Caenorhabditis elegans: one gene and its partner. The protein of the gene in region 1 interacts with the protein of each later gene in a pairwise test. Each region holds a gene or a part of one and is shown in the gene's direction. Other genes may lie near its edges. The genes, in order: hxk-1 and ZK829.7.

The links.
Region 2: the proteins of hxk-1 (region 1) and ZK829.7 interact in a two-hybrid assay, tested with the Caenorhabditis elegans proteins (2 studies listed by BioGRID).

Annotation. Positions count from the first base shown.
Region 1 is NC_003279.8:9,265,514-9,282,850, reverse strand, and holds hxk-1 (Phosphotransferase), read left to right. Parts: upstream 1-9,056; 5' UTR 9,057-9,070; coding exon 9,071-9,184; intron 9,185-9,282; coding exon 9,283-9,376; intron 9,377-9,424; coding exon 9,425-9,492; intron 9,493-9,537; coding exon 9,538-9,675; intron 9,676-9,723; coding exon 9,724-9,845; intron 9,846-9,921; coding exon 9,922-10,765; intron 10,766-10,837; coding exon 10,838-10,960; 3' UTR 10,961-11,371; downstream 11,372-17,337. Other genes in the region: rpoa-2 (DNA-directed RNA polymerase I subunit RPA2 homolog), read left to right, coding at 1-157, 607-715, 767-964, 1,246-1,542; F14B4.1 (EGF-like domain-containing protein), read left to right, coding at 11,937-11,982, 12,491-12,541, 12,589-12,859, 13,578-13,682, 13,740-13,807, 13,976-14,164, 14,216-14,305, 14,361-14,498 and 7 more.
Region 2 is NC_003282.8:11,951,262-11,967,615, reverse strand, and holds ZK829.7 (Enoyl reductase (ER) domain-containing protein), read left to right. Parts: upstream 1-6,080; 5' UTR 6,081-6,083; coding exon 6,084-6,294; intron 6,295-6,360; coding exon 6,361-6,602; intron 6,603-6,656; coding exon 6,657-7,096; intron 7,097-7,146; coding exon 7,147-7,372; 3' UTR 7,373-7,711; downstream 7,712-16,354. Other genes in the region: srj-1 (Serpentine Receptor, class J), read left to right, coding at 2,189-2,380, 2,427-2,593, 2,700-2,904, 3,188-3,453, 3,499-3,706; tgt-1 (Queuine tRNA-ribosyltransferase catalytic subunit), read left to right, coding at 7,823-7,975, 8,271-9,113, 9,715-9,957; gdh-1 (Glutamate dehydrogenase), read right to left, coding at 12,402-12,667, 12,928-13,591, 13,637-14,041, 14,089-14,364; tbx-36 (Putative T-box protein 36), read right to left, coding at 15,540-16,094.

The DNA of each region.
Region 1 (17,337 bases):
CACTTCCATTCTCAGAAACCGGTATGGTACCTGATATTATTTTCAATCCTCACGGTTTCCCATCTCGGATGACAATCGGTATGATGATTGAGAGTATGGCTGGAAAAGCGGCAGCTACGCACGGAGAGAATTATGATGCATCGCCATTTGTTTTCAAGTAAGTTATTCACTGTTTGAAAATTTGAAAATAATTCTAAATCTCTAAAATTATTTTTCAAAATTAATTTTAAAAAATGGGCCGACTAATTTTTGAATTCCCGTGCAAATAAATATCAAATTGAAACACGGCTTGTCAATTTTTCTGACTTTTCCGTTAAAATAAATAATACATTCTTGTGGAAGTATCGATTTTTGGGCCAACTGTTTTTCAGATTCGACGAAGTTTTCTTTACGGAGAATGTCCTGAAAAATAGACTAACAGTGTTTAAAATTATATATTAAAAATAAAAACTGATCAATTTAACCAGTACCTTCAGTTTCGCGGAAATTCGAAAATAATTATTTTTTTGCAAAATAGAAAAATTTAAAAAAATTAGAAAAGTTTTTAACAGTTACAGTTACGTTTTTTCGATTCTTTTTCCATTTAACAATGTTTTGATTTTTCAGTGAAGACAACACAGCAATCAACCATTTTGGAGAATTACTCACAAAAGCAGGTTATAATTACTACGGTAACGAAACATTTTATTCGGGAGTTGATGGACGTCAAATGGAGGTTTATATTAGAATTTATCGTTTGAAAAATTAACATTTTTCATAATTACAGATGCAAATCTTCTTTGGAATTGTTTATTATCAAAGACTTCGTCATATGATTGCTGATAAATTCCAAGTGAGAGCCACTGGACCAATTGATCCAATTACTCATCAACCAGTAAAAGGAAGAAAAAAGGGAGGAGGTATTCGATTTGGAGAAATGGAAAGAGATGCTATTATTGCACATGGAACATCTTTCGTGTTGCAGGTACTTTTATTTCTATGTTTAAAAATAACACCGAAAATTTTTTAGATTTTTCTGTTTTTTTCAGGGAAAAAAACTGAAAAATCGGAAAAAAATGTTCAGAAAACTAAAAAAAAAGTTAATCTTAAAAGAAGAAAATTGGTCAAAGTTTACATCTGTTTTTTTTTTGAAAAATCGAAGTTTTGAACAAAATTGGAAAACTAGTAGTTTTCGATTTTTCAATACTCAAAAAAATCGAAAAAGCGACAACACTAACTTCATTGTACTGATATTTTAATTTCCAGGACCGTCTTCTCAACTGTTCGGATCGTGACGTAGCATACGCTTGTCGTCGTTGTGGATCCCTATTGTCCGTGTTGATGTCCAGTCGTGCAGGATCACATTTATTGAAAAAGAAAAGGAAAGACGACGAACCATTGGACTACACGGAAACTCAACGATGTCGTACGTGTGATAAAGATGATCAAGTTTTCCTGCTTCAAGTTCCTCGTGTCTTCCGTTATTTGACTGCCGAGTTAGCTGCAATGAATGTGAAAATCAAGTTGGGCATCGAACATCCATCCAAAGTAACTGGAAGTTAATTTCATTATTTTTTCAACATTTCCTTCATAATAGAAATACTGAAAACTTCATGCAGTTCTCTAAACTTTGATTTTTAAAAAATTTCTTTTACACTACACTTTAATATTCTCCGTCCCCTATCCTACAACAATCTCACGGTTTTTGTCTATTTTTTGTTATTTTCTCTTTGCAAGTTGTTTTATTGTTGAACCTTTTCTGAAATTTTTGATTTTTAGCCGATTTTAGCAATTTTTGTTACTTTTTTGTTTACCCTCATCCAATTTATTCTGTTTCTATTGTTCACTTTTTGTTTTGTTTTTTGTTTGAGTTTTTGTTCCTCAATATTCCATAAAGTTGTTGTTATACATTTTATATGTTTAAGTAAATCACATTAAGCACTCTGCAACCTTCCCCTCTCTCCACACACTTCTTTGATTTTTTTTGCTAAATTTCCGTTTTTCCGCGCACTGCCTCTTTTTCCACTCTCTCTTTGCTCTTGCTCTGTGCTCTTTCTGCTCCAATAAGCCCCTGGCGGCCATGTTCCCATTTTCCCCGCGCTCCCCCATACCTCTGTGCCTTTCTTTTTCATTTTTTTTTCGTGGGTGAAAACTTCCTAGGTTATGACGTGGCATGTTCAAGGAGCATCGAGAGCTTTTTTTCTGTTTTTATTTTGCGGCAGAAACGTGGAACGGCACGTTTTTGATGTGTAAAAATCATGTCAGCATTTTTTTGAGAACAAAACGGCGATGGAAAAGCGAAAAACGTGTAATTCGAGACGAGAAGCCATAAACCTCTTTTTTGCAGGCTGTTGCCACGGAGAAAGACAAAAATCAGCAGTTTTTTAAACTTTGAAACAACTTAATTTTTCTCTAATTTAGTATAGAAACTTCAGAAAGTTTATAGAAAATAGATTTCCAGATTTTCGAATAGTGTTCCCAAAGATTTGCATCATTCTTCTGAATATCTCGGAGCCCAATTGTATGATGCAAATTCTTTGGAATACGAATTTCGTCATTCTTCCCTTCACTTGCTCAATTTTCGTCAGAATATATTACAAAGACGCGAAATGTTGCGCTTTTCGCGCCAAGGTCTCACCACGACATAATTTTGTTAAATTCGAAATGCACGCACATTTTTGAATTCAACAAAAATATTTCGGGTCGAGACCGGGTACCGTACTTCTGGAGAAAAAGTTCGCGTCTGAGTGATCTTCAATAACCTCGGTTAATATATTCATTCAAAATCAATACCAATACTTTATATTCCAGCAAAAAAAAACTGTTCCCACGATTCAATATCGTTTATATATTTGCTTTTATAATTTTTTTCATTTTTCAAAAAATCGTTCTCCATATTTTTTGGCTTCTGAGAAATTTCAGACGATCATTTTTCGTTAGGATCTTCAGCTAAATTCTTATTGAAGAAGTTACAGGAATTGTTTCCATAGAGTCTCACAACGAGCTTTTTGACCCATAACCGTTCGGGCGTAGAATTTGATCGCGACGAGACCCAAGAAAAAGATGTGTGCACCTTTAAATTTTCTCACGAATAAACGATAATACTCAGAAAACTACAAAGTAATATCGAGAAAAATTTAAATAAAATTTCACAGTGGAAATAAGTTATACATTTCTTTTTTATAGTAGAAATTCATAATAAAACTCTCCATTCTCGACGGTTTTTTTTTGTTATTCTTAGCTTCAACCAATTAAAGCAAATTTTGAATCCAAAGAATACTAATTGTTTTATGAACTGTTTTAACGTAAACTACTTTGATAGAGAACGTGCCAAAAACAAGGTCCTAAAATTTTGATGTGCCCATCTGCGCACATCACATTTCGCAATGCTTTTCCCCATTTTGTCATGACGTCATACGTCGCCCCTCTGGGTCCCCTTTTCCTTCTTAACACTTTGCATCATTCGTTCACAGTTTTTGAAAATCATAATATTACGCACAAATTCCAAAACCCCATAAAACTGCTGTTCTTTCAAACTGTTTGAGCTCTACTTTTTTTGTAAAAACTTGCGCACACATTCCTTAAATCTTCCTCATGTTATTCGAAGCTCTCACTGGCTCTTCAAATGATCACCTTCCCCTTATTCTTTTTTTTTTCATACTCAGTTTTGGGAAGTTTTCATCCCCCTTTGCCAGTATGCAACCTAAATTTTGAGGCACCTTAGAGTCATCTTAATAAATTAATTTCTAATTTTACTCGATGCATCATGTCGCCGCGCCTGCGGTTCAGTGGTAGCTCTAGAAAAAGCATTGTCTTTAGGGGATTATCCGAGAATCGGCAGAAGATCCACACAGCAATGAAAGTTCAAATTTTATGAAATCCTGATTGAAATTCACGACTTTATTTAAAACTTTTTATTTTATTTCAAAGTTTAACAAAGAAATTTATTTCTTAATTAATTTGAAATGAACAATTTCATTTTTAATATGTTTGCGAGATTTTGTGAGGATGGATCATGCTGTCGAAGGTACTAAAAATTTTATATTTAGCAGATTTTCATAACCTTTTTCCTTGACTTTCCTTCAAAGAACTAAATCCGAAAATTTCACTCTGTGACTCATCTCATTCGTTATTCTCGTTGCTTTATTCCGTTATAATTATTCCAAATTGCTTGCTTTTCAGAAGAAAACTTAACAAAAAAGAGCAGAAGAGAGAAGAAGTAATTGAAGTATTGTCATCAAGTGGAGATAATAGTATGGCAGCAACGGGAAAATGTAGTAAAGTACGACCACGATTTGAGATGCTCAAATCGATGAGCATTCAAAATTCAATTGATGTTTCCAATAATCAAATGGTGCGCCTTTTTTTTTTAATTTTGATCGTTTTTTTTTCCAAAAAAAGACAACCGTACTTTCAGCTAACTTTTTAAAGCTACTTTTGAGACGAAACCTTAAATTTTAAATAGAAATTAATAAATTGCAAATGTCTGAAATATAAAAATGAATTAATTTGGAAATACTTCTTATTTTAGATATGGACTAGTTGGCAAAATTTTAAGCTACATCTATTCCTGTTGTTTTTAATTGTAGTGAAATTTTTTAGCTGCTGTGGGACTAAAATGATCAAATGAATTAGTTATACTTTTCAAAAAAAAATTCAATTATTTTGGCAGATAATGGCAATTACTGATTTTTTTCGTTAATAATTTTGAAAGTCGACAAAAAATTTTATTTTCCAGGAGTTTTCATGCTGATTGAAAGAAAATTTTTGTAGGTCTGAATAAGAGCTTTGCTTATGCAAAAGTTCTCCAAATTCTCCAAAAATTTGGATATCTGCCAAATTGTTCTTGAAATTTTGAAAAATATTTTTTCAATCTACTTGGCTATTTCTGTTCATTAGAATCATTAGAATATTAGCACAAAATCCAAACTGGTTTTTGCCTTTTTTGGAATTTTGACAAAAATGTCAGTTCATATTTTCCTTCCAAATTCCGTCGTTTTCAATTCTCCCGTTGAAAAATATTGTTCTTGAACATTCGTTTAGTGGGGGCGATCTCTTTGTCTTTCCACTTGTGCAAATATAGTTGTTGTTTGTAATTTGTCTAACTTTGAAGCCACATTTTCCCACATCACTTCCCTTGTTAAAAAAAAAGAAATGCGTTATAAAGGCAAGAAAACTTTACTGTTGTTTTCCATAACAATGGGTATATCTAGAAAAACAGTGAAAGCTTCTGATTGAATCATGATTATTACCCTATTGCCTGTTGATATTTAATTTGAAATGAGTTATTTCTGATTCCACTCATATCTGGAGAATATAATGTTTATAGCCTATTGTCAATAAATTCCTTCCTGTTCCTTCCAAAATTATTTTTCTGGCCGGAATTTCATTTTTGTTACCTAACTTTCCTGTTTTTAAAGCAGATTTATTGTTGCCACACAGCCTTGTAAAAATGTTCCAGAAACTTTTTTCTTTAATACTTTTCGATCTGATAAGATAACAATAGAGCTAACCAAAGAACACAGACAATTCATTTTTGCTATACTTTTTCTTTTTTATTTTTCCCATCTTTGTTTGTTGAACATCCACACACTGTTGCATGTGTTCCTTTTTTTTGCAAAATTTCCATCTAAACATTCATTTCCGTTTAAATTTGAACAAGTAATTCTTTGGATAAATTTCGATTTTCAAAGCTTCTGCTCCTCCAGTGGCATACACTACATTCAAAAGTATCTAAATTCCCTTAGAACTTTGTTTCCGACTAGTCGATCCGGAATCAGTCCGACAAGATTTAATCCTCACATGTCCGCTTTCCTAAGTGGCTCAGAACTTCGCCAACGATTTATTTTTGAATTTGAACTGTGCGTCTTGAATAATTTCGGAAATCAATTTATAATGGTGAACAATTGAAACTCTAAAATTACATTGCCAAAAACTGTTCCAACATTCAAATCTTGTGAAATCAAGTCCACATAATTAAGTACTTGGTGTAGTCTGTTGAAAAATTATTTTATTTTGTTCTTCCGATTTATTTTTATTGCCTCTAAGTCACATCACATTTATGTTCCAATTCTAAACACAAAATACTTTGTAGTGTCCTATAATTGTGCCCGTAATGTGATGTTTTAAATCATCAAAGTAATCATCAACATCAACTTCTCTTCAATTTGAAATGAGTTATTTCTGATTCCACTCATATCTGGAGAATATAATGTTTATACGAAAAACTGCAACTCGATACGTTTTCCAATCGTAAATTGAGTGTTCTGTGAGTGTTTATTGTGTTTTGTGCTGATTTTGCAACAAGAAGAAAATTGAGAAAAATTAAATGAATTCATAATTATGGATGCTCTCGAATGATCAACTGAACGCTTATATGATCATACCACTTTTCTCTCCGTGAATATCAAGAATTTCTCTGAAAATGTGTTATCTTAAGAAAACAAGATGCACATATTGTCTTATCAATTTTTCATCCAAAATGTCCATAGATTCATGTCTGTCAAGTTTTCTTTGTTTCAATTTACAGACAAAGACTCATTTTGGCACATTGCCAACTTATCAGTGATTGATGTGAGAACTTGTTCTTTGTAAATTAGCGTTTGAATAGTTCCAACAAAAAACCTACATTTGATTTGTAAAATTTATTGGCTCCTCTTTGTCCTAGATTTAAGACAGTTCCATTATTTGAACGCTAAAGGGGATTCTTACATACCGTAACCAAATCTAAGCGTCGAAATTATTCGGCGTTCCGGGGGCGCCTCTCGCCTGTCTCGTCTCTCGCTTTTTCCTCCTTGTTTCCTGGTGTGCTCTTCGTCGTCCTTTGAAATATACGCGAAGTCGGGGATGCGACTGGAAAAATGGATAACACTTTGGAATTTCCAGATTAGGCACTTCTTTGGGGTCTTCACGTTCCTTTTTCTTACCGAAAAAGTAAGATCTAAAATTGTGAAAAACATTAAGCATCCTCTCGTATGATCACCATAATGAAAAGCGGGTATAAGGTCCCCCGTCACGCCTCCAAAAAAGCAATCATGTCCCCGGAAGTTCTACTTTTTCCCCAACATCATTCTCCAAAATCTCAAATTTCAAATTTTCTCCAAAGTGAACCTCTGCACCGCCTGGCACAAAGTAATCGATCCCATAAACAATTTTTCGCGCTCGGTTCAGCAGTGATTTTTGCTCCGAGACACTGTCGTCCCGTGTGATATATGTCAAATATTGACAAATTGAGAGAAGAATAAGTAGAAGAAGAAGCTGACAGATCCCTAATTCGCAAGTATATTTTGTTCTTTGTATTTTCGTCGCAATCTTCCAAATAAGTGTAGATTTCTTGTTTTAATTCAGCCAACTTGTTTTTATGATGAAGCAAGGGGTGTTGTCCGGGGGAGAGTCATACAGTTCGTCAGACATCAAAGCACTACAACATAGACACATATATAGATGATGCACGTCATTCCGTTTCCCTTTACAGTCACGTTTTTACTGTCTCTTTGTCTGCGTCTCTCGTGGTTCATTAATGTATAAGAAGATATATATGATGACGTGATAAGACAAATCATCATATTTGTATAGATGAAGTTGAAGGGTTCTTAAGAAACGGACACAATATGGAAAAATGTTTGCTTATAGTTTCTTTTTGGTGTCTGATTATTTTAGTCTACATTTTGTATAATTTTGTTTTTAAATACGAATACCGTAATCACTCAATTTTCTCAATTTTCAAAAATTTTGCACGGATTTTTTTTCGAAAATTTAACTTATCTTTTTGAAAATGACAATTAAAATAGAACATTTGTTAGTAACGAAGACATCTGCTAAACCTATCCTGATTAATAAAGAAAGTGCTACCGTATAATTTTTCCTCGCGGCGAGAACCATACTACCAATATGTGAGCCTTTAACTACGAGGTTCAGAAAGTTGTGGATCAACTGCTAAAAAGTTTGTTTTCATTTGCAAAATGTTCTGTCCCGTGGAAATTTGAAATTGAAAAAATTGCAATCTCCTGGAGAAAAGAAAAGTCACGTTTTGTACGTCTTCAGACCTATAATATTTAATTTTGATCTACATATTGTTCTCCCCCACTTTCTCTGATCGCCCGCTCTTTTCGCCACGTGTTGATCTCTCGATTCTTAGCCGGACTCCGCCCACTTTTTCTCTGTCTGCTTTGATGATGCTGCTGCACTTACTTCCACACGATGTTATTGCTGATCTGATGTTCGGTGTTTTTATGATTATTATTATGTTTTCCCCCATAATTCCTCACTGAAATTTCTCGGATGCTTTCATAAATCAGACCACACTGTGGTTCGAGGATGCAAGAAAATTCAATTAAGTAAGAAAGAGACCGGTACTGAATTTTTCTTATAAAAGAGGAGCCGCCTTTGTTCTTCTTCGTTTCTGCATTGTTATCAGATGGCGACCCCCGAGACATTCTTATATTCTCCTCCTTCTCCTCCTCTTCCCGTCCCATCAGTGACCGGCTGATTGTTCTCTGCTACTGATGATATAATACTAGTGAAAGACCTCAATTTTTATGTACACGAAAAAAATGAACATGTGCAAATATTTGATAGAGCTACGCTGATTTAATCACGTTTACTGTAGACTGAGAACAATCAAGACGAGGCGGAGAAAATTAGAGAAATTTTGCCATTTTCTTCGCAAGGCGCACAGAGTTTAAACCAATAATTCTTATATTCGAAAGAAAATCGGAAAATTTCTGTAGATTCATACAAAAAGTATGCCTACATAAGAATTTCTTAAAGGAAATGTGGACATAAAGCCCTTTGGGTCCCACCACGACTTCATCAGATGAGTACGGTAGCCGGTTCCTTTTTATTGTAACTTTTCTTTTCATCAATCATTCTCTCACATTTGTAGACGTTTTTACTGTCTTTCTATTTTTCTATTTTTTGCTGAATAAAGCAAAAAAGATAACATCATGTTCTTTTTGTCGAAAAAAGTATAAAATAAGCTTTTCATTGCCACTTTTGTCGCTTGAATTTTTCTCATCGTTACAAGTTTTTCTTCTTCCTTCTTCGTGTTTCTTGATTCATCGTTAAAATACTTTTAGAAATTATCTAAAATATGTCATCTATCGTATGCCACCCAATACTCGACTCACAAAACGGAATCGCCACAGATGCGGTCATCAAAAAGCAACGTCCACCACCACTTGTCCTTTCCAGACCCAAAGACTTGGTGCGGTTGCTATATAAAATGATTAATTAAGAGAAATAATTGTAGTTTAAATAATATTCAAAAAAAATATGTGATTGAAATAATATATAAATTTACAGATCCAGGAAGCATGCCAACGTCTTGTTCTGAGCGATCAGCAGCTTCGACGAATCATGCAATCGATGGAGAAAAGCATGGAGCAGGGTCTTGCTAGTAAGCTGTTATGAGTGTATGGTTGCCTTTAAAATTGAAATTTTTCAGCTTCTACGAAGAAAGTCGCTGTTAAAATGCTTCCAACCTATGTTGATTCTGTCCCGAACGGAACTGAGGTAAAAAATACATAATTTGTTAGATTTTGGAAATTTCCATTTCAGAGTGGCGATTTTCTTGCACTTGATCTTGGTGGTACCAATTTCCGTGTTCTACACATCAAACTACAAGGAAAAGAGACAAAAATGACTGGAAAAATCTTCCGTGTTCCTGAAAGTATCATGCGAGGAACCGGTGAAGCTGTAAGTTTTTGTTTTGTCTTTCTCTCAGTCAAAACGTTTTTTTTTCAGCTCTTCGATCATATCGCAGGTTGTATGGCCAAGTTTATGGGTGAGAACGATTTAAAGGATGCCCAGAAGTTGCCGCTCGGATTCACTTTCTCGTTTCCATGTGAACAGGAAGGATTGACAAAGTAGGGGAATCTAGCTTACATTTTTTACTGAAAAACTATTATTTTAGCGCCAGTTCAAATTTAATAATTCTTTCAGAGGAAAATTGGTCACCTGGACGAAAGGATTCAAAGCATCCGGAGTAGAGGGTGTTGATGTTGTCACTTTGCTTCACGAAGCGTGCCATAGAAGAAAGGATATTGATATTGACGTAGTGGCACTGCTCAACGACACAGTGGGAACACTGATGGCTTGTGCATTCCAAGAAAACTCTTGTCAAATCGGAGTCATTGTGGGAACAGGTACCAATGCATGCTACATGGAACGTTTGGATCGTATCCCGAAGTTGGCTGGATACGTTGATGAACACGGTGTGACACCGGAGGAGATGATCATCAACACTGAATGGGGAGCATTTGGGGACGATGGAGCACTCGATTTCCTTCGCACCGAATGGGATGAAGTTGTGGATCGTGAGAGCATCAACCCAGGACAACATCTCTATGAGAAGATGATCTCCGGAATGTATATGGGAGAGTGTGCCCGAGTTGTTCTCGAAGATTTGGCAAAGCAAGGATTGCTGTTCGGTGGAAACTCGGATGCTATTTCGGTTCCTCATTGCTTTCCAACAAAGTTTGTATCGGAAATTGATAGTGATCTTCTTGAGGATGATGATCGAACATTCCAAAAGACTTATCAAATTCTCGAGGATATTGGTGTTGAGATGATCACTGCGAATGATTGTGCCAATGTGGCGTACGTGTGTAGTTTGATTTCAACTCGTGCTGCCCATCTGACAGCCGCTGGAATCGCTATGTTGCTCAATCGAATGAACAAGAAACATGTGACTGTCGGAGTTGATGGATCTGTATATCGTTTCCATCCAACTTATCCAACACTTCTTGATGCCAAAATTGGAGAATTGATTGTTGGAGACATTGAGGTAAAAATTGAAGACTCATGAATTTTATCACAAATCATTCACATTTTGAATTCTAAAATGATTAATTTACAGTATAAATTGATGCTCTCTGAAGATGGATCTGGACGTGGAGCTGCTCTCGTTGCTGCTGTTGCCACTCGACTGAAAGAGGAAAAGCTTGCCGCTTCTCTTTCATCGTCATCGTCCAATCAGTAGTCTCGTCGATTCTCATCTGTTTAAAATTCGCTTTCTGTCACTTTCACCCATTTCATCGAGCTTTATCCCTCACCTAGGCCCCGCCCACACTTGAAACAAACTTCCAATAGATTCGAATACGGGATATACTTTTTTCTTATTTTTTAAAACATTCTCCAATTTCTAGGCATAACTGTACCAATTTAGAGCACCCATGCATCCTCCCTTACTAACTCCTTTCTTCATCAAACGTATAAACCACTAACCTCCCTTCTACAACCAAATAGAAATAACAAAATCCACAATGGATTGCCAATTGATTTATATATCTTAAGTTATTCATTTTCTGAAATAGTGATTGGAATTTTTATATATATTACTTATCAGTGATCATCCTTTACCGAAAATTTGTGTATAAAATACGTTTAATGTATTTTAATGTTATATGTTCAATTACTCAAAAAAAACAAAGGTGATCGAATTTTCAAAAAAGAACGGATGACACTTGGCGTACGCTTACAATGTTAGAATGCAACAAAAAATTGATAAAAATTCAGCAGGGTTCTAGATATATGTCCAAATGCCAAATGTAGCACACATCTCTGACCGTCTGATCGTCATATTCCACGCGTGGATCCCCCATAAAATGTCGGCTGCCAAACATCAGTCACCTATAATGGCACATTGTTTTTCCCTGTACCTGTTACTTTTTTGTCATCTCTCTTTTTGGAGATCTTCTATTGACTGTCTGTGTCTATAAAATCATCATACTCTCTATCTACCTTGCCATGTTAATTGACCCGTGGAGTGAGTTAGTCCCTCTGATCAAATATGCACCCGCATTCATTTACGTTGGAAGAATAATTTTGGGAGTATTTGCACACGACAACCGGTAGAAGAAGTTCCACCCCTCAATGTTATTCTCTGCGTCTAACTGACTCCATCTCTCTAAGTTTGAAGAATACCTTATAATCTCACTTGAATATTGTGAGTTGTCATGAAATTACTCTTGCTACTCTTATTCTCTTTTCCAGTTTTTATTTGTAAGTTTCAGTTTTCCGTTTGAGAATTGGTATACTGTCAGAATTTGTGCCACATTCAACGGTTACTAGGTTACATTATACTGTAAATGAATGAAATTTTGCTCGCGACGTTCAATTTCGTATTCTAGAATTTCTGTCTTTGAGTCCACATATATTTGCTTCTTGAACTTACCCTGGCGAAAAATAAGCCAAAAAGCAAAATTGATCTGAACATTGCTCCTGGTCACTTTCGATTTTTTGGCAAAAAAACCCCTTTAGTGTGCTCTAGAAGAATACAAAGTCAACTGATATTTCAATATTCAGATTCATTTTTTAGAGGTTGATACAGTAGCTGTTCCTCTATTTAAAATAATTTTAAACGAAATACCGTACTTCTTCTATTAGTATTGCCAATATTATTCAACTTTAACAGTTTAAATCTCAGTTGTCGTTGTTCCTGCTATAACTTTTCAAAGTAGAACAGGCGGGCGCAATACTAATAGTAGAAATACAGTAATTCTTTTTTCAGATAGCGAAGTAAATCATGCAACACCCCTAATACTTCCTCATCGAAATGAAGGTATGATCCTTAAAATCAAGACTCTGAAATTTCATTCATTCATTCAGATCCAGTATTTGTCCTCCTATCCTCAACACCATCAACACTACCAACAACATCAGCTCCACCACCACCATCCATTCCGATTCTAAAGCCAGATGCATCACCGTGTGATCTTATTGAAGAAGCAGCAGCACTTCACTGCATTGGACCACTTGTTGACTATGCTGCCGATCTGACCAATAATGTACTTCATCCACCACTTAGTGATGTTGTAGAGACTTGTGCCAAGTACAATCAGTATATGATGTGCACACAGGGTGTTCGACCAGATTGCAGGTAAATAATGGGGATGTATTAATAATTTGGTGATGAGCCACGAAACCGCAATCTTACATAATATTCGACGTTTCAACTTTCATCTAGATTCTAGAACAAGAACAAATATATCGCAGGCTGTTTTTTGGAGGGTTTGACTTTTGGTTGAGTACGGAAGAAAATTTGACTTTAGGAGCACAGTCAAAAGATCTATTGAAGAGTTAAACTTTTCGATTTTCGATCGGTAGTCATTCGTGAGTTGTCAAGTGGCTCACGCTTCCGTTTCGCAATGAATAATAACATTTACAAACACATATACACACGCATAAAACTGTTACATGTGTGTAGTAAAGTTGATTTGAAAAAGGTGAACATATTTGCAAACGATACAAAGAGCAAGTGGGCAATACACGCAAGACATCAAAACAAGTACTTCGTGTAATCCTCTCGGAGAATACATTGCTCATCGCAAGCTGTGTTTGTGAGAATAATCTGTGCAATTATAATCTGTTGAAGCTTGAAATTGCTTTTTCGTCCAATTTGAGATTTTAAGAGCAACGGCGATGAAAAGAAAAATTTTAAAGAATTTTCCAAAGAACCGGGCGTGGGGAACTACCGTATTCTTTAAAGGCGCACACTATTATATTTTTCTTGAAAAAATTTCGGTCTCGTCGAAACCGGTGACCGTAATTCAGCTTAAAATCCATATTTTGCAATTAGTTGATACCAAAACTTTCAGACAATCCCGGGCGCCAAATATTGAATTCATGTATGAAACGATTTGTGAGCCGAAGTTTGCAGCAATCATGAAGGAGGAGCAGGCATGCCTTTTGGAGGTTGAAAAGTAAGCATTGCTCTGTGTCTCTCTTTCATACATAAACTATTCGGCTACTTCTTGCAGCGACAAGAACGTAAAGGAGTGCTTTGTGAACAAAACCAACACTTTGAGGGACGAGACGCCAGACACTGGTAAGTAAAATGGAAATACGACAGAGGGGCGAGCGTGCGAACGTGGCTGAGTGGTCTAGTGGTATGATTCTCGCTTAGGGTGCGAGAGGTCCCGGGATCGATCCCCGGCTCAGCCCACTTACTTTTGCTCAAATCTAGCATGAAAGTGCTCAAAAATCCATTTTTCAGTGTCTAACCCAACACAAAACTACGAATGTACAGTAATCCAAGCGTACGTCGACTGCTTGATTGAACGGGAGGAGACATCGTGTCGAGATGCGGAGAAAATAGAAATCTCCTTTTTATCAATGTTAGCTAAACGGAATTCGGAATCTAGATGCGAATTGAACACCAATGCAATAAAGTCACGACCAAAAGGTAGGCATTTCTAGTATACATTCTCAAAGGTTCAAAAATAAAAACTCTCAGCTCAACCTCTGGAGGAATGCGACACACAAGGAAATTGCAAATGTAGATTACCCGGTTATTATTATGAAGCAGCCAGGAAGAAGTGTCTAGGTTAGTGAAATTGCAATATTATATTTTTGATGTTTTCAAAATTTGCAAATTACAGATGTCGACGAATGTGAATCTTTATCCTCTGCATGCTCTCAAAAGTGTGTTAATCTTCCTGGAACATTTGAATGTACTTGTGATCCACGAACGTATAAATTGGCAACTGACAATAAAACTTGCGAAAGAATTGATCAATGTAAGATTCAACTTTATCCAGTTTAGTCTTAATGTAAGTAATAAAACACGTTTCAGCTCCAATGTGGCTATTCTTTGCACATGGTCAAAGTGTATGGAACATTTCAACTGATGGAAAATCATTCCAATTACAACGTGCCGGATTACAAAAGACTGCAATGATTGATATTGATGTGAAAGAGAACCGACTGTATTATGCAGATATTGGAGCAAATGTAATTGAAAGAATGAATATCGAAGGAACATTCCCACAGGCAGTACAAAGATTTGATGTTGACGGATTAGAAGGTATTGCAGTTGATTGGATTGGAAGGAATTTGTACAGTTTGAGAAGGTTAGTTTCCAAATAAGTAATACCCCAACTTCTTTTAACTATAAAAATACCAACATTACTACTTGTAGAGAAGACATACTCGTTCAAAGTCTCGATGGCCGATTCCGTCAACCCCTGTATAAGAATGTTATGACGCTTCCGAGATCAATCACTCTACATCCAGCTAAAGGAATTATGTTTGTCACTGATTGGTCTGCAAATGCATTCATTGCTGCTGCTTCAATGGATGGTAAGTAGTTAGAGCTAGGCGTTGACCAGTTTCCAAAATACTATAGTAAAACTTTAGGTTCTCATTTCCGAAAAATTATAACCGAACGAATCACATGGCCAAATGCCGTTGCAGTTGATATTTTTGCCGAGAAAATCTATTGGGCTGATGCATTTTTGGATACTATTGAGTAAGTCTTATTATTTAATATCTCTATAAGATGCAATCAAAATAATATAACCGAAAAACATGACCTTCATGTAAAAACAAAAGCTCTTTTTTAACTGTGCAAACGTGATCTGTTGGACTCTCTGGGGCTCATTCCTAGGTATTCCTGACTGATGTACTTCTACAGATCTGCTAACATGGATGGAACTGGAAGGAGAGTAATAATTGCTGACGCAGGATCAGTTCCACACGTCTTTGGATTAGCAATAGCTGATGATTACCTATACTGGACCGATTGGACATACCGTGGAATTTTAAGAGCAAATAAGCACAACGGAGAAAATATCACAGTTTTGGCACAAACCGCTCTTCTCCCATATTCCCTTAAAGTCTTCCACAAATCCCTGCAACCCGAAGGTAAGCGTCTTGGTACAAAAAGCAAAAGATTTCGACCACGGCAGGACTCGAACCTGCAATCCCCAGATTCGAAGTCTGGTGCCTTATCCATTAGGCCACGCGGCCACGAAATTTTCTTATTGCAGAGACGTCGACATGTGAGACACGAGGGTGTGACCAGTTGTGTTTGTTAGGGGAGAACGGCGCGGCAACATGTGCTTGTGGAGAAGGGTTTGACCTTCTCAACGATGGAAAGAAATGTAGCTCGAACTGTAGTGAATCACAAATCGAATGCGGTGGAGCTGATCCAAAGTAGGTTAATTTCATATTCAAAATCAGTTTAAATTAAAAAAAAATAATAATGTCAAAATTGAATTTAAAGTATTCACATTTTTCAGATGCATATCAAAGATATATCTTTGCGATGGTCTTGCTCAATGTTCCAATCAAGCAGATGAAGAAAAATGCCGTAGGTTTAAAAAAAAAATCAAATACATAAAAAACCAAATACAAAAAATCAAAAGTATTGAAAATTTCATACGTATTTTCTGGTTCAACTGTGGTTTTCTAGTTTTCAATTGATAATATTCAGAAAAATTAAAAAAAAAAACAAAAACTATTAAAAAAAAAAAAGTGATGAAAAAAAGGAAAAGTGATGAAAATTAACAAAATCGATTTAAAAAAAACTCGAACATATGTGAAAATTGAAAACATTTTTAGTGGTTACTGTAGTCGCCGCGGTGAGACTCGGTGAGTAGCGGAGAGAATGTTTCTTCACAAATTTTTCCGAAACTTTATTGAATACAATTACACGTGTAGTCTGAGCGTTACCTCTATATCTGATCTCCTGAAATTGCGGTAAATAAAAAAGTGACGTCACTCGAAATGTCGACGATAGTAGCGATTGCAAGAGCTAAATCTCTTTGGTTTTTTTTTTGAAAATTCAGTCAAAGTACTTCTTTCAGCACCTAGAATCTGTCTTCCTGGTCAATTCCAATGCCACGACAATCATAAATGCCTTCCACCAGGTGGTCTCTGTGATAAAGTCACCGATTGTTCTGATTCTTCTGATGAAATATATTGTGAATACCAAAAAACAACAGAAAAGGGACAATTTGTTCTGAATACGACAAAAGGAAAACATTCAATAAGGAATTGAATTTCGGATTCTTCGATTTTTACTTTTGTGAAATTTTAATTGTTATTTCCGATTCTCAGGTCTCATTTATTTTTCGGAGATTACCACAAAGTACTTATTATTTATGCCTACGTATTTATAATAAATACTATTTTTTTCATATAAGATTTGAAAATACAATCTCCAATTTGCATCAAGAAGCTTACAAAGACATGATGATTTTCAAATTTCAAATTTTATTTCAAGTGTAGACTAGCGCGTCAAGCGCGCTAGGCTTCGCAGTAGATTAAGTTGGTTTTTTTTTTCTGGTAAAATGACAATTTCCGGCAAATTGGCAAACCGGCAATTTGCCGATTTTCCGAAATGATTTAAAGTTTCTAAGAGTAAGAAGGCGGCCCTAATCCCTGATTTTTGAGTTTGAGTGAAATACAATAGCATCGCAGGCCTCCGGCCTGCCCAGCTGGTAGTGAGGTTAAAATTTTCGAATAGTGCGGTCCAGGGGTGTGCGGCAAATCTCAAAATTTTGATTAACCATTACTATAACTCAATTTTGTGCCATTTTACAAAACTTTTGTAGACCAATAGTTGTTGTCAAA
Region 2 (16,354 bases), on another chromosome or scaffold:
TACAGTAAGATCTGGATAGATGCACTGAATTTGGTCGTTCAATCTCTGAGCATCGGAATTGGAGGTCACACTGTAATGGCGTCATTTGCACCTCCGGAAAAGAATACATTTCGAGTGAGTTAATTTTTTAATTTCAAAAAGTTCAATTAATCCAGAGATGTTTTGAATCATAATAATCTACTAATACAGGAAATTAATCCTATCGAATCATCCAACTTATAAGTCGTATTCAATAAGATAAAATACCTGACAGCCTGAAAAGAGACCTACTACCCAGGTGTGAGCGACAATCGAAAATTTTCGGCAATCGGCGATTTCAGAAATTGCCGGTTTAAAAAATTTTCTTATTTCACGTGCTGAAATTGCCGAAATTCCTAAAAATTCGATTTACATTTCACATGTTTAGAACCCCAATTTTTAATGATTGGTTCCTCTTTTAGAAAATTGAAATTCTCAGGCAATAGCCTCTTTCTCTACTACAACATGAATTTCAGGTCGCCACACTTGCAGTAATTTTGGACACGGGATTAAGTATAATTATCAGTGCAACCGTTTATTCAATTCTCGGATACACCAGATTTATCCTCGGTCGGAAATCGGTTTACGATTTAACAGTTCTTCCAAATGGTATTTTGCAATCTTAGCTGCATGAAAGGTCATTGCTTAAACATATAGTTTTTAAGGACTTCTACTGACTCATTCAACATTTCCTGTGCTCCTCCGACAAGTTGCTGCAAATTCATGGTTATGGGTATTCTTGTACTATTCTACACTTGTTGTTGTTGGCTGGAAATCTTGTGCTCGTTAGTTTACATCGGCTCATTTTGAATTAAAATAATTTTTTTATTTTCAGTTATAATGAAGACAATAACGGTTACAATTGCAGATATTTTCAATATTAAAATGAAAACCTATTTTTTCGACTGCCTATGTATTTTTGTCTCAATGGTTATTGCAACTTCTGGGCTCTTTCTATGTTTTGAGGTTTTTCTTACATTTTGTAATACCCTTTCTCTAAACCTGCGTATTAAAGAGTGGGCCATTGTACCTGACAATGATTCAAGATATTCAAACAGTTGCAACCGGAATATTCATAACTGCAGAACTATTTATTGTCCTCGAATTATATGGTTTAGACACAATCTATGGAGATATTCATGAACTTATGGGACAGCCATCCAATGACCAATGGAGTCGAGCTTACACGTGGCCCATCTGGAAATGGAGATGGACAACTGCACCAGCTTTTTCGATTATATTCGCCGTATCTGCATTCTTCAGACCCTTTCCGAGTCCTGAAAATGATCTTGAATATTACTATTTCTACGATGTAAGACCCGGAAATGTTAGTGTTAGGAAAAAAATTTGCATTTCAGTTAATCCAGTTTTTCATACTTTTCTTCGTAATTGTATCTCCATTTGGTTTCGCTTATTATTCATACCTGAAGATGTGGCATCACTTTGAAAAGTTTGAGAAGGAAGTAAGTTTTTTTTATTGAAATTAGAAATTCAACAAAAAATTTCAGAAACAATTCAATTCAAGTATCCTCTGGCATCGCCAACTTCATCTACGTTCGTGGAATCGAATTGAAAAGGAAATGAGTGAAGAACAAAGGAATTTTGCACATGTAAGTTTCTTCAAATTTTTTTTATTCGAATAATGAGATAAATTCAGCAACATCTACCTGAAAAAGAGTCTGAAGATTTGGAAGAGTTCTGGAAGTTGGTGTACCGCCCATTCTTTGAAACCCCGTCTCACGAAACTGTGATGATGCCAATAATCCCAAAATCTAAGGAAATTGTAAAGCCACGTCAAGCATCAAAGAAGAGGTCAAAGAAGAGAAGTAAGAAGGATGAATTCTTGACATTTGAGGTAATTTATTTATACAATGGCTCCTGGATTTATAAAACTATTTTTTCAGACGTATTATAAAGAAAAAGGAAAGTGACGTGGAATGCAATTTTCGAAAAATCTTAACATCAATACCCGTATATCAAATGTATAATTGTGGCCTAGAAACCTATTCCTATGTAATTTAATTCTGTCACAACACTTTACATGAATCTATGAACTTTGTAGCCTATAAATAACCACTAATCAACATCACAGCTGTCAAGTCATTCACAAAACACATCCCATTGCAACCTTTTTTCAGATAAATTGCTTTCAGAGATTATTATCCTGAAAATGATATACATGAGCTGGTTCCATACTTGGTCTCCGAGAATTTTTTGTGTACTTTCGTTTATTTTCAATATCTTGTTTTTAGTTCTTTTAAAGTTTAAATCTCCTCGGTACATTGGTGGATATCGGTATCTTCTAATGACTTTTGGAGTTTTCAATTTGATAACTTCAGTTACTGAAGCAGTAGTTTCAACGGTATGTTAGTTTTACCGACTTTACACTAAACCTCATCTTTATATAGGCAATCGAAGGATTTAATAATTGTTTGATTATATTTGTACCACATGGTCTTTTATTTGAATATCCGCTACTTGCTCAGAACCTTATTTCAATTCGATGTGGAATGTGTGCGTACACATTTGCACTGCTTGCTGTTCATTTTTTATATCGATATCTTGCAGTCTGCAGGTAATATCTTACTGATACTCTTTATTTCAGACTGATACTCTTATTCTTAGCTTTGAGACTTTTATTAGCATTTCTGTAATTTAATTGATTTTATTAAACGTTCCAGACCGCTTGCCATTGCCCATTTTTTCCGCCCAAAAACTATTTTCCTCAATTCCCTATTTGTAATGTGTTTTGGAAGTTCTTGGATGCTCATCGGTCACATAACTATGTGGCCTGATGATCACATATATGATCTAATCGATGAAAAGTTCATACAATTCCATAACACAAGCAGTAGAGATTTGGCAATGATTGTTGCAAATTATGAGGTGAGAATTGTAAGAATATTAATTATATAACCTAACAATAAAGTTAGAGTATCGTAAGTGGTGATTTTGTGGGAATACACCAATTGTAGATCAAGATGGCTAAATTTAATTATTAAACACCTCAAATTATTTTAAGAATTATCAAATTGCCCAAATTTTTGTCAATTGCCTAATTTTCAAAACTGAGTGATCGCCATTTTAGGACCAGTTATTCTAAAAAAAAAGCTTTTCGCCACTGAAGATACTCCACTTTTAATGCTATAAAAACCAATTTTAATTACAGTACCCCGTGTATGACTGGTCAAAAAGTGGAATTCTGGGAATGCTCATAGCCACATTAATCACCACTTCTATTATGATCTCCTATGTTTTCTTTGCTCAAAAAATTCACCTGTCACTGAAAGCATGCACATTTTCTGGAGCAGTGAAAAGATTACATTCAAGTCTTCTCAAATCTTTAATTGCTCAAACTATAATTCCATTGATAAGTACAATTATTCCTTGCTTTGTCATATGGTTTCTTCCACTTGGTGGTGATAATTATGGAGTGTAGGTTATAGATTCATAAGTTCTTAAAATTTTAAATATTTTCAGAATGCTGTCAACATACTTTATGCCACTACTCAGCGTGTACCCCGCAATTGATCCAGTTGTTATCACTTGTTCATTATCAGATTACAGAAATTCTGCATTGAAGACATTGGGGTTCCAACGAGAAGAAATCAGTACATCTAAACAGCCATATTCCAATATATTCACTGTAATTCCCTCTCTAAACAATAATTATATTACCCCAAATTAATGTTTCCTTCTGTTCAATGAGTTCCCAACAAAAAATTGGTGTTCAGAGAATACTATGTACATCCTTTAACAACTTGCAGCTTAATTCCTAATTTACTCAATTTTACTCAATTACTCAATTTACTCAATTTACACTTTTGCACTGCTTGCTGTTCATTTTTTATATCGATATCTAGCAGTCTGCAGGTAATTTCTTACTGATACTGTCTTCTCTTAATCTTAGGTTTGAGACATTATAAGCATGTCTGTAATTTAATTTGTTTAACTAAATTTTCCAGACCGCTTGCCATAGCCCAATTTTTCCGCCCAAAAACTATTTTCCTCAATTCCCTATTTGTAATGTGTTTTGGAAGTTCTTGGCTGCTCATCGGTCACATAATTATGTGGCCTGATGATCACATATATGATCTAATTGATGAAAAGTTCAAAGAAATTCATAACACAAATAGTAGAGATTTGGCAATGATTGTTGCAAATTATGAGGTGAGAATTGTAAGTTGAAAGACATTTAATATAAAGGTACAGTATAGTAAGATAGGATACTACGAAAGTATACTCAGAATATATAAAAAAGACCAAATATCGATTTTAATTTGCTCTAGTTTTTTTTTAAAGTTTTCAGTTAACGTTTTGGTAATTTGGCGAATTTTCAAAAAGTTTGGCCATTTTTATTAATATCAGACATTGTTGCAAGCTGGCCCTCGCATAATGTTTGAATATATTAATAATTTCAAATAATAAGTCATACAACGCAAAATGTATCTTGATCAATTTTTTAAATCATAATAAGTGAAAACTGAGTAATTACCACTTTATGACGGAAAGTTAAAAAAAAACTTCAAAATGTTGACTGACTGTACTATGATATTTGCTCATCATATCATATGAGTGTTCCCTTCAAAAACAATTACAGTACCCCGTGAATGACTGGTCAAAAAGTGGAATTCTGGGAATGCTTGTAGCCGCAGTTATCACCAATTCTATTATGATCATCTATGTTTTCTTTGCACGAAAAATTCACTTGTCACTGAAAGCATGCACATTATCATGTACTACGAAAAGATTACATTCAAGTCTTCTCAAATCTTTAATTGCGCAAACTATAATTCCATTAATAAGTACAATCATCCCTTTATTTGTTGTATGGTTCCTCCCACTTGCCGGTGATAATTATGGAGTGTAGGTTATAGATTCATAAGTTCTTGAAATTTTTAAATACTTTCATAATACTGTCAACATATATTGTGCCTATACTAAGCGTTTATCCTGCAATTGATCCAGTTGTTATCACTTGTTCATTATCAGATCACAGAAATTCTGCATTGAAGATATTGGGATTCCAAAAAGATAAAACCAATGTATCTAAACGTTGATTAATTCATTTATAGATTTGGAAAAAAACGTTTATGAAGTTATTTAAAATGTGTATGATCTATTGATTTCAAATGTTCACAACGTCGAACCACAAATTGATGTTTCCTCATTTTCGATGTACTCAAACTATTTTATTATCGAACTTTTTTATGGAAAAATTTCAAATTATTTTTTTGCAAAATATTGGATTTTTTTGGAGATATTTCAAATTATTTTTTTTGAACTTTTTTTTTGAAAAATGTTTCAATTTTTTGGAAAATATTCGAGATTTTTTTCTACTCTCATTCTCCCCTAGAAGTCATGATGAAATTCGTTTGTGTGCACGTGAAAAGCACATGTATTGAGGGACGAATAGATGCTTCGGCATCTGTAGGGTCCTGCGTCTCGTTACTCTCCCACTGTTATTTTTCATCTGCAATATTTTCGTTTTCCATTTCACAAAGTTTATGTCAGTTAGTTGTTGTTCCGGTTACTTAAAAAGCTTATTCTCAAAAAGCCTAAGTTGATAGAGCTTTCAAAACATCAATAGTTAATTTGAATCTCTAATTCTAATTGTAAGTCAAGTAGATTCTTTCATAATAATCGTAACTGTAATTTTGCCGGAAAAATGCAAAAAAGTTTTCTTTATTAAAAACTAGTATTTAAAATTCCGCCAAAAGGCACGCAAAGTGCGCAAAGCCATTCTTGACCCCGTTATCGTGACTAGGCGCACTTTCCGTTTTTCAATCGGATTTTTTGTTTTCGGCACGTTGTTTCTCAACAAAGTTTAATGTCTCAAGTGATTGAACCAATTTTTCTATCATTTAAACTGAAAACACTAATATTTTATTTCTCTCCAAGTGTTTACAATGTTGATTCTATTGATTTTTCTCTAAAAAGTTGTGTCTCTTCAAAAAACACACACGTGACCCATGCTCTCACTTTGATGGTTTATTCTTTGTTAACAAATTTATTGATATTGAAGTGTTTATTCAACCTATTTAATTTAATTTTCCTTGCAGAAAATGCCAGCAACAAACCGAAGAATTTCTTTGGGATCTCCAAAGGATCTTCGGGAAGTGAAGTTTTTCGACGAGGAGCCAATCCCAGATGTCCCACCAAAGGGAGCACGCGTTAAAGTTTGTTATGCAGGAGTTTGCCTTACTGATAGAGAAGTTTCCAACACGAAGCAAGCAAGAATTACCAACGGAATCAAAGATACCAGCTTGTTTCCAGGTTTGAAATTTAGATTAATTTGGCTTGAACTAATGAAAATAACATTTTCGAAATCCGTTATTGCAGGATATGAAGTTTCCGGAATTGTTGAGTCATTCGGCGCTGAATGCACACCTGGTGACTATGATCTGACTATTGGAGATAAAGTAATCGTATGGCCAACTGATGAGATGTGCAGTCATGGTTATGCCGACTATGTTGCTGTTCCAACTCTCCATTTTCTTGTGAAAATTCCAGAAACTCTTTCAATGCATGTAGCATCTATTTTGCCTGCTGGAGCTACCTGGGCGTTGTCTGCTGTTCTTCAGGTTTGACATTTTCCACGGTTTTTTTCTTCAGTATTAATCAACAATTTTTTCCAGGCCAGACCGATAGTCGAAGCGTTTTCACAATCAAAGGGATTCTGCAATATTCTTATCGTGGGAGCAGGAGGACTTGGACTTTGGCTTCTTAAACTCGCCAAGCATTTCCTAGCGATCAACAATGATAAAAAGATCCGTTTGATGGTTGCTGATGCCAAAGAAGAACGTTTGTCTCTGGCCGAAAGAAACGGAGCTGACTTTGTAGTACACTGGGATGATTCCGAATTTGAAGAATATCTGATTATGAGAACTAAGGATGTGGCTCGTACCGGTGTCAATGTTGTTTTCGATTTTGTGACATCTCCAAGAACTGTCACTCGATCATTGAAGTGTCTCGCTGAAGGTGGTGTCTTATTTGTTGGAGGTCTTTCCGGTCTTGATGTTCAACTTCCAATCAAGCACGTTGCTAAAAACAGACTGGCCATTATGGGAGTTACGAGGTACTATTTGAAGTTTTTTTCTTTCTTTATTTCATTTACAAAATTTCCAGAGGAAGTATCGAACAACTGAAAAACCTTGTAAATTTGATTGCCGGAGGCCAAATCGATGCTCCAGACTACAGAGTTTATCCAGTCGATCAAGCGTCTGCAGTGTTGAAGCAATTGTCGATGTCGGAGGTTGAAGGTCGTGCCATTCTCGAAGTTTGCGATCCCTCTTCAGCATTAGATGCAGATCAGAGCGGCGGTGTTCCAATTCCTGCCGCCACTTCCGAATAATTGCTCAATAAGCCTCCAAAGGTGTAATAATTGTATTTCCCATTTTGCCATTTCATACATTGTCCCGACTCCCTTCACTCATAATTATATAGTCAGAAAGTCTTATTTCATCCTGTGCATTTACTCTATTACTTCCCAGACATCGGTATTTTGAGTATAGTGTTGCCATCTGCTTTTCAAAAATTCCCTGTAACATAAAATCCACATTTTCTCCCGTTTCTTGCTCTAGATCCGCATCCTTCCAAATAATTTTAACATGAGAACGAAAATAATTTTTAGTTAGGTAATCTTAGTTTGTAAAAAATATGTAAACAAACGAATTCAATGAATATTATAAAAAAACAAATTACCGTTACAGTACTTCATTAAAGGTCATAACCAATTATACTTGGAATAAAAATAATTATTTCCTATTTTAACGAAAAAAAAACTTACGAAGTGAAGTCTCCAATGACACCGGAACCGCTCCCGACGTGCCAGGCAGATATGAGGTACGACGTGCTGGCGAGAGCAGGATTCGCTCGTCGTGGAAATCTTCATTTGCCACATTCCATCGTCGAAACGCCTGTTTTTATGCCTGTTGGAACACAGGGAACTATGAAGGTATGGAATAAATTAAGAATAAAAATTCTAAATTGAAAAAAAAACTTTTTCAAAAATGTGAAATTTGTTTGTGATCATAATAAAGTATAATACAAAAAATAAAACCTGTTAGTTTTTTTTTTAACTTTCAGTGAAAATTTTTTCAAATTTTTGAAAAGTAGAGATTTTATGAAGTTTACAGCAAGTTAAATTTATGAACATTTTTTTTCAGATTCTCATTTTTCGATTTTCCCTGAAAAAAATTAAAAAAATATTTTCTCGAGTTTATGCAGTTTCATATATAATAAACTTACAGGGAATCGTACCGGAACAACTAGTCTCGATGGATTGTCGAATTCTCCTTTGCAACACGTACCATCTTGGACATCGTCCCGGTCATGAACGAGTTAAGGCTGCTGGTGGATTACATAAAATGATGAACTGGAATCGTTCAATTCTCACTGATTCTGGAGGATTCCAAATGGTCTCGTTGAGCAAACTCATGACAGTTGATGAAAATGGAGTGAATTTTGAAAGTCCTCATACCGGAGAGATGATGGCTTTACCACCAGAAAAATCAATTGAAATTCAACAAGCACTTGGTGCTGATATTATGATGCAGTTGGATCATGTAATTCATGTATTGACAACTGGTGATATTGTAAAAGAAGCAATGCATAGAAGTATTCGATGGCTTGATCGATGTAAAGTGGCTCATACAAGAGATGATCAAGCGATGTTTCCAATTCTACAAGGTGGTCTTAATTTGGAATTGCGGAAAGAATGTGCTAAAGAAATGGCGAAACGAGCAAAAGTTGGAATTGCAATTGGAGGATTATCTGGAGGAGAAGAAAAGGATCATTTCTGGAGAGTTGTGGCAGCATGCTGTGCAGCTTTACCCCCTCATCTTCCTCGTTATGTGATGGGAGTTGGATTTCCAGTTGATTTAGTAATCTGTTCATTTTTGGGAGCTGATATGTTTGATTGTGTATATCCAACAAGAACTGCAAGATTTGGAACAGCAATGGTCAGAAGAGGTGGATTGATGCAATTGAATCAGAAACGATATAAGGAAGATTTTTTGCCGATTGATAAGAAATGTGAATGTAATACATGCAAGAACTATACGAGAGCATATATTCATTCGATTGTTGGAAAAGTGAGCTTTTTTTCAAAATAATGTATTTTTCAACTTACTGATTTAAAAAATTCAAAATTTTCCATGTTTCCGTTTATTTGCAAAACTGTAATGATTTACAGCTGAAAACGTAATTAGATTTTGCCGTAAAACGTTGAAAATATTCAGACCACTTTTTAGAAACGACATTATAAAAAATAAAAATAACGTTCGAACACAATTTTTTTTGTCAAAACCATGAAACCAAAAAAAAACTTTTGTCAAAGTAAATACCATAAAAATCAATAAAAAATCTCTCTCTGTTACACATAATAGAGAAAAAAGCATCACAAAAATATGTCTCCATTTGCAAAATTAAACACAATTTCCAATAGTTACTTACCTGTTATCCCGTCATTATCGGGCCTACCGTAGTCCTGACAAAATACGTTTAAAAAAGTTTCATAAACGCACCCTACAAAAGTTAGACTTTTGCAGATTTTTTGCAAAGTTTTGGACATTTCAATAATACTATTTGATGTCGAATTTTATTTTAAAAAAAATTCAAGTCTCAATAGATCCATTTTGAACAAATTTGAGAATGTTCTTAGCTAAATTTAATTAAATCTCAATAATTTTCCAGGAAACGGTAGGATGTCATCTAGTATCAGTTCACAACATCAAACATCAACTGGATCTTATGCGAGACGTTCGTCAAGCGATTCAATCGAATTCTGTTGAGCAATTTCTGAAGCAATTCCTATATGACTATTATGGACCAATTCAATCTGAAAATCCATCGAAACAAGATTCTGAGAAGATGAGGGAAGTTCCTCAATGGGTCAGAGATGCTGTAGATCATATGGGATATAAGCTTGATTTTTGATTTTTGATTTTCTTTGTTTTGTTGTTAATCTTATTCGTCATTGTTGAATTGTTGTTGAATCATATACATTTTTTTAAATCTTATCAATCAATTATAATAAATTTTATTCCAGATCGCGTAAAATTCCAATGTCAGGCTTCTTATCTCTAGACACGTGGTTCCCTTTAGGACCGAAAGTTCAAACTCGAAACTTTTTCTACAGAATCTCCCCCAGCCAACACCACCACCACATACAGAACGTTTCGTGCTATTTCGTTTGTGCTGCTTTTCGAGTTTGTGTAAACTCAGTGAGCTCTCTAATGGTTTTCTCTCTCGAGCACAGAGCCGCCTATCTCTCCTCCTCGACCACAATTGATTGTTTGAACTCTTTTCTCAACTACCTCATCATATCGCCACGTGTTTGTTTCACTGATGATTTTGTATCTGAGAGCCCAAGTGAAAGTCAATTTGCAACTGTACAGGGGGAGAAAGGGCAAATAATGAACCTATTGGCGTGCGGTAGACATAAATAAGAGAATGCCCACGGCGATGTCCTTCTGAATTTCGTTGAAACACTAAACATGGTGGTGTAATGGGTTTCAGTAACAATAAAGTAATTAAAAATCAACGGAAACTATAAGAAACACACGTTGTTTGTTTCCGTAGAGATGTCTGGTATTATTACAACTGGAACAGAAATCAAAAAGTTACTTTTGAATATAATATTTTGTATGGCACCATGGGTCTCACGACGAAAAAGCCAATAATAATAAAGTCGACGAAATACCTAACGAGACTCAACGTTTGGGGGCGGAGCGATTTCGTTTGGCGTTGGAGCGCTCTTGCATCTCGGTTTCAGAATTAATGACTTAATCGCTGACCCCCAGCTTAATATTAACCTATTGTATTTTAATAGAGGACGAACTTCCTCATAACAAAAATACCACGTGGCCCTGAGCTCCCTCCTGATAGCTGACCTCGAGCCAAAACATGATCCTATGATTTAAGGGGAATCCCCCAATCATCTCCCGGTCATCATCTGACTTCAGATGTCACCCCACCCAACACATTTTCTTTGTCCTCGACTTGTTATACGTGCAAAAGCGAGAAAAAACGAGACGATTCTCTTTTCGTCGCGCCATGACATCGGTTTCCGCAAATATCTCTGCGACTCTCACCCACGTGGGTCTCTAATCGTTGAGGATGAGAGAGCGAGAGTGAGAAGAGAAGCAGAGAAGATCAGACCATCAGCCAACGCTTTTTTATGTTGCGGTGCAGTGTCGACTGTCGACGACGAAACGAGCGGTGTGGAATTGAATGAACTTGGCAGTGAGAAGATGATGAAAAATGCAACGAAAAATCGTCAGATGATGATGAAGATGATGGCCACCCAGGCTTATATGGATTTTTATTGAGCTTTTGAAATTTAAAATTTTATAATTTATTTTGGTTCGCCTTTTCTGAAACTTCATGGGAACAAACACAGACCAAAATATTATAAAAGTGTAAGTTTATGGTAGTCTTTTTGAATTTTTAGAAGGCTACCATAAACTTTTCGGCGCGACGAGACCCGTCTGAATAAATCCGTGCGCCTTGAAAATGTATGCTATTAAAATCTGTGAAACTACACGATATGCACATTCCAAAATTTCTCTGTAACTGCAAAAATTCAAAAAAATCTCCAATTCTAAATATTTCCCTCAAACATTTGCGTACACTTCGAACCGAAATGGGGGATTCCCTCCAAACTGTCTTTATCATCTTTTATCATTTCTTCTTTTTGTCCAATCAGATTAGCTTCGTTCAAACGATCACCCAATTTAATCTTTCAACATTTCTTTTCATTCTCTCCAGGAATTGCATCAGTTTGACGACGAAGGTTTTGCCGGAAAAGATCAACTGATATGGAAACGGCCAAGCATCAACTTCGTTTAGACAATTCGAAAATTTTGCAACAATTGTGGAGGTGATTCCCAAATTTGAAGCTGATAGTGGCACACAATGTGAAAGTGATATGTTATCGAAAATTCTAAATTATAGTAAATAGAAAGACACAAGTCTGATAAAGTTTTTAATGCTCCCTGAAATTTCTTTTCCAATGATCATTGGAAAATTGCAATGACCATGTAGAAGTGTTTAAGGAAATAAACTTTTTATTATTTTTGAGATTTTTTTTTGAAGAATGGTCTCCGTCTCGAAACCGTCCCGAACCAACAAACAACGAAAAAATTATGTGTGGGGATGAAAAGGGGTGGGGAACCAATAAAATATTTAATTATACTAAAGTGAGAACGAACCAGGCAGAAAAGATCAGAGCTAGACTTTAGTTAACCTAGATAGTTTCGAAACAGAAAACTATGGAAAAGGCACTAAAGGGTTACACGAAGCTATTTAAACCTGGCTTGGAGCCATTTGATGTCATAAAAGAGGATACAAGAGCCATGAGATGAGTGAGAAGTGGGTACTTATGTGAAGGTGAATCCAGCGGTTCTGTAGGTGTTGTAGACCTTCTCGATGGAGTTGGCATAGGCAGCAGTACGGATATCAAGTCCAAGGTTGTACTTGTGAGCGGTGCGGATGATGGCTTCTCCGGAGCGTTGCATTGTGTACTCGAGTCCAGAGTGAACGATGTCTTTCTCGGAAGCTCCAGCGATCTTGGCAGCGAAAGCAGCATTTGGTTCAACTGGGCAATCCTTTCCGACGGCCTTGGAGAGAGATTCTTGGACCGAGGCTGAAAATTCAAACATTTTTAAACAGAAAGAATTGATTTACAATTTGTTTCCTAGAGTGCATACGTACTCATTTTCACGACAACGGTTGAGTGGCCTCCTCTCCCTCCTCATAAAATAAACGGAAAAGTGTGACAAGCGTAAGAGTATCTAGCCCTTGTTAGTTTCTAAACAAAATTTTATCACAGATGAAAACTTGCAAATCGTTTCATTGTGTTACTCTACGCAAGTCTAGGAATTCAAATTTCGAAAATTTACTTACCCAAAAGCATCTTGTTGGCTTCCTCGTCATATTTGAATGTAAGACGTCCGTAGGAAACATGGTTAAGATTCTTCAACCACTCGAAGTAGGAAACAGTAACTCCACCAGAGTTGACGTACATGTCTGGGATGATGAGGCAATCTCCACGAGCAAGAAGAATTCTGTCAGCAGCTGGGGTAGTTGGTCCGTTGGCAGCCTCGGCGATGATCTTAGCTTGAATGCGGCTAGCATTTTCCTTGTGGATCGACTTTTCGCAAGCAGCTGGAACGAAGATATCGCACTTCTCGTACATAAGCTCAGTGAATGGGTCGAAGTTCTTGGCTCCTGGGAAGTTCTTGATAGTTCCATTGGCGTCCTTCCAATCTTCGAGCTCCTTTGGATGAATACCATCTGGGTTGTAGACGGCGCAATCGTACTCCTGGATTCCGATGACCTTTGATCCAGCACGGTGGAGGTATCTGTGGGTGTGAAGTCCGACGTTTCCGAATCCTTGGATGATAGCAGTCTTTCCAGCGAGTCCGGTGTCAAGACCGACCATCTTCATGTAATCAGCATCGTTGGTGAACACCTCGAGTCCCTTCCACACTCCACGTCCGGTGGCGGAAACACGTCCGTGAATTCCTCCACTGACAATTGGCTTTCCTGTGATACAAGCCGAAGCATCCTGCAAACAAAATTATTCACATGCTCACAAAAAATTTATACTCACTCTGTCCAAATGTCCAATGGTTTGGGCGTAGGTATCAGCGATCCATCCCATTTCACGCTCTCCGGTTCCCATATCTGGGGCTGGGACATCAACTCCGGGGCCGAGGAATCCCTTCTTTGCGAATTCGATAGCGATACGGCGGGTGATCTTCTCAATTTCATAATCAGTGTATTGCTTTGGATCAATCTTGACTCCTCCCTTAGCTCCTCCGAATGGAACATCGACAACAGCGCACTTGTAAGTCATAAGAGCAGACAAAGCTTTGACCTCATCTTCGCACACATCGAGGGAATAACGGATACCTCCCTTGGTTGGAGTTCTGTGCTCAGAATGCTGTGCGCGCCAGGCCTCAATAACCTCGAACTCTCCATTGTCACGACGGATTGGGAAGGTGATGTAAAGGACCTGAAGAAAATAAAATATGATAAATTAATGAGACTCAAAATTCTTACCTTGTTAACTGGCTTGATAGCTCCAAGAATTCCGGACACGAGATTCTTCTTATCCTTTTGGCTCAAAGAGTTGGACTTGAGCTCCTCGGCGAGTTTTGGAGCGATGACCTCGGCTCCCTTGTTGAAGTAAAAGTCGACCATCTTGTAGAAAGATGGGTTGACCTGCTCCTCCATTGGCTTCTGCTCGTCGAGCACCTGGGAGTGGGCATCGAGAGTAGCGGCCGAATAGCTTCGGACAGCGACCGAGCGGGCGCCTCTGGAAAGAGTGCTCAACATTACCTGAAAATAAAATATTTTGTAATTAAAATTTAAACAAATAAGAGATTTTACATAAGAAGCCAAAGTGCAAAAAGGAGGAAAAGATCCGGGCGGAATCGAAAAGTAAGGAAAATGCCAGGAGGTCTCGTCACGAAATCCATGCGCCTTTAATAATTTTCAGCGGCAGTTTGAAATTATTTAAGTTATAGCTCGTTTAAAAATATTTAAATCAAAAAAAATTGGCAGAGGCATCAAAACCTTTTTTCCTAAAAAAAATGTGGCACCGCCCGCGAGTAGGCAAACGCTTCTAGGCCACGAAAAGCTCGTCCTGGGGACGCGGGCGCCATAACTATTCAAAACTAGAGGAGCCCAACACAAAACTGTTTACAGGACAACGCGCAACCATCATCGGTGGGCGAGACCGATGAAACTGCAAGCAAAAGATAGCGTTTCATGGAGGAGGAGGAGGAGGTGACTGGCAAATAGATATTTAGAGAAAGAGAGAAATAGAGGCAACATTCGGGGGAAAAATAGAGAAAAGATGCTCCGCCTATTTGAAGAAGGAAAAAAGAAGAGTGGGACGAGTGTCATTGATCTTCGCCCATATTGTGTGGTGCTATTGCATAGGACATACGATCTGCATAGCAACAAAACAAAAGAAGCAGGGTCAATCGACGTCATCTGAGAAAGAATCGAGACAGTGTCTCGCTAAATTCGCGTCAAAAATCTCATTCAACGAATTTTGAATACCAGTTTTGTTTTTGTTTCTCTTTCGATTTGTTTTACTGATCGACATCTTTGATTCTTCGTAAATAATCTTCAGAATAAGACAACCGATTTTTAAATTTTATTTCTCCCCCAGAGATTTGACAGAAATTTTTGAAGAATGTGGCTTTTTCGGTGGTCGCTTCCATAACCAAACATAGAGCATAAAATATTTTTAAAATGGAAAAAAAATAATTAAAAAATCCGAGCACCAAGACGCGCTACCATAAACTTTTTCTCCCGACGAGACCCATTGGAATGAATTCATGCGCCTTTAAGAACAAATTCTACACTTTTGATTTTATTTTCATTATTTATTGAAAAAATTTCAAGAATGATAAAACGTGAGCTTGTTAGTTGTGATAAAAAAGAAAAACAGGTTAGTAATTTGAAACCGGATAAATCTAGACATAAGCATAAATCGAAAGTTATAACCGATTGTATGACTGGAAATAGTTTTCATGAAATGAATTGTCATAATATTGCTGATTATAAAAATCATAATGGACTGTGGGCGAAGTTTGAAAACTAGGAGATAATTGGTCTGTTTGTGGAAAAGTATGAACCATCTGATATTCTTCTGGAGACGATGGGTAGAGAGAGTCATAAATAGAAGATGGTATTGATTGTGGAGAATTGTATTGATATTGATAAAGGTACGATGGTGACGAAGGTGATGATTCAAGCAAACTCATGATTCCCTTTTCAGCATTTTTTAGTTCCTTCTCATCTAGAGATTCGACAGGAAGTTTTGCTGGACGTTTCGAACGCTGGCACTTTGTTCCACTGATTTCATACTTTCTTTTTCTTGAGAAACGATTCATACTCTTCTTCAATTCACGATTGACTTGTCCACGATATTCAGTGCAAGTGATGAATATCATTTCGTCGAATTTCGTTTCCTTCAGGTATATCAGTTCGTCGTTTTGCATCTCATACAACACAACTCGGATTTGATACATTGTTCTCGAGGAGAGACACACCTGAAAATTTGAAAAAAGTCTAAATGACCATTGCGCAATTAATCGTTTTGGTTTTCAAACATGCTGATTATTGGGGACGCAAAAAATGCCCCTTTTGAAATCAAGGTGCAAAAACGCCCCGCCACAAAACGTTGGGTCTCGGTAGGTTTTTGATTTTGGCGGAAAACCTGTAAATTGGTGAAGTCTGCAGAACGAATTGAAAAGGTTTGAATTTACGGTTTTGTCTCCAGAAACCTAACGAGACCCATGGCTAGAGGGCG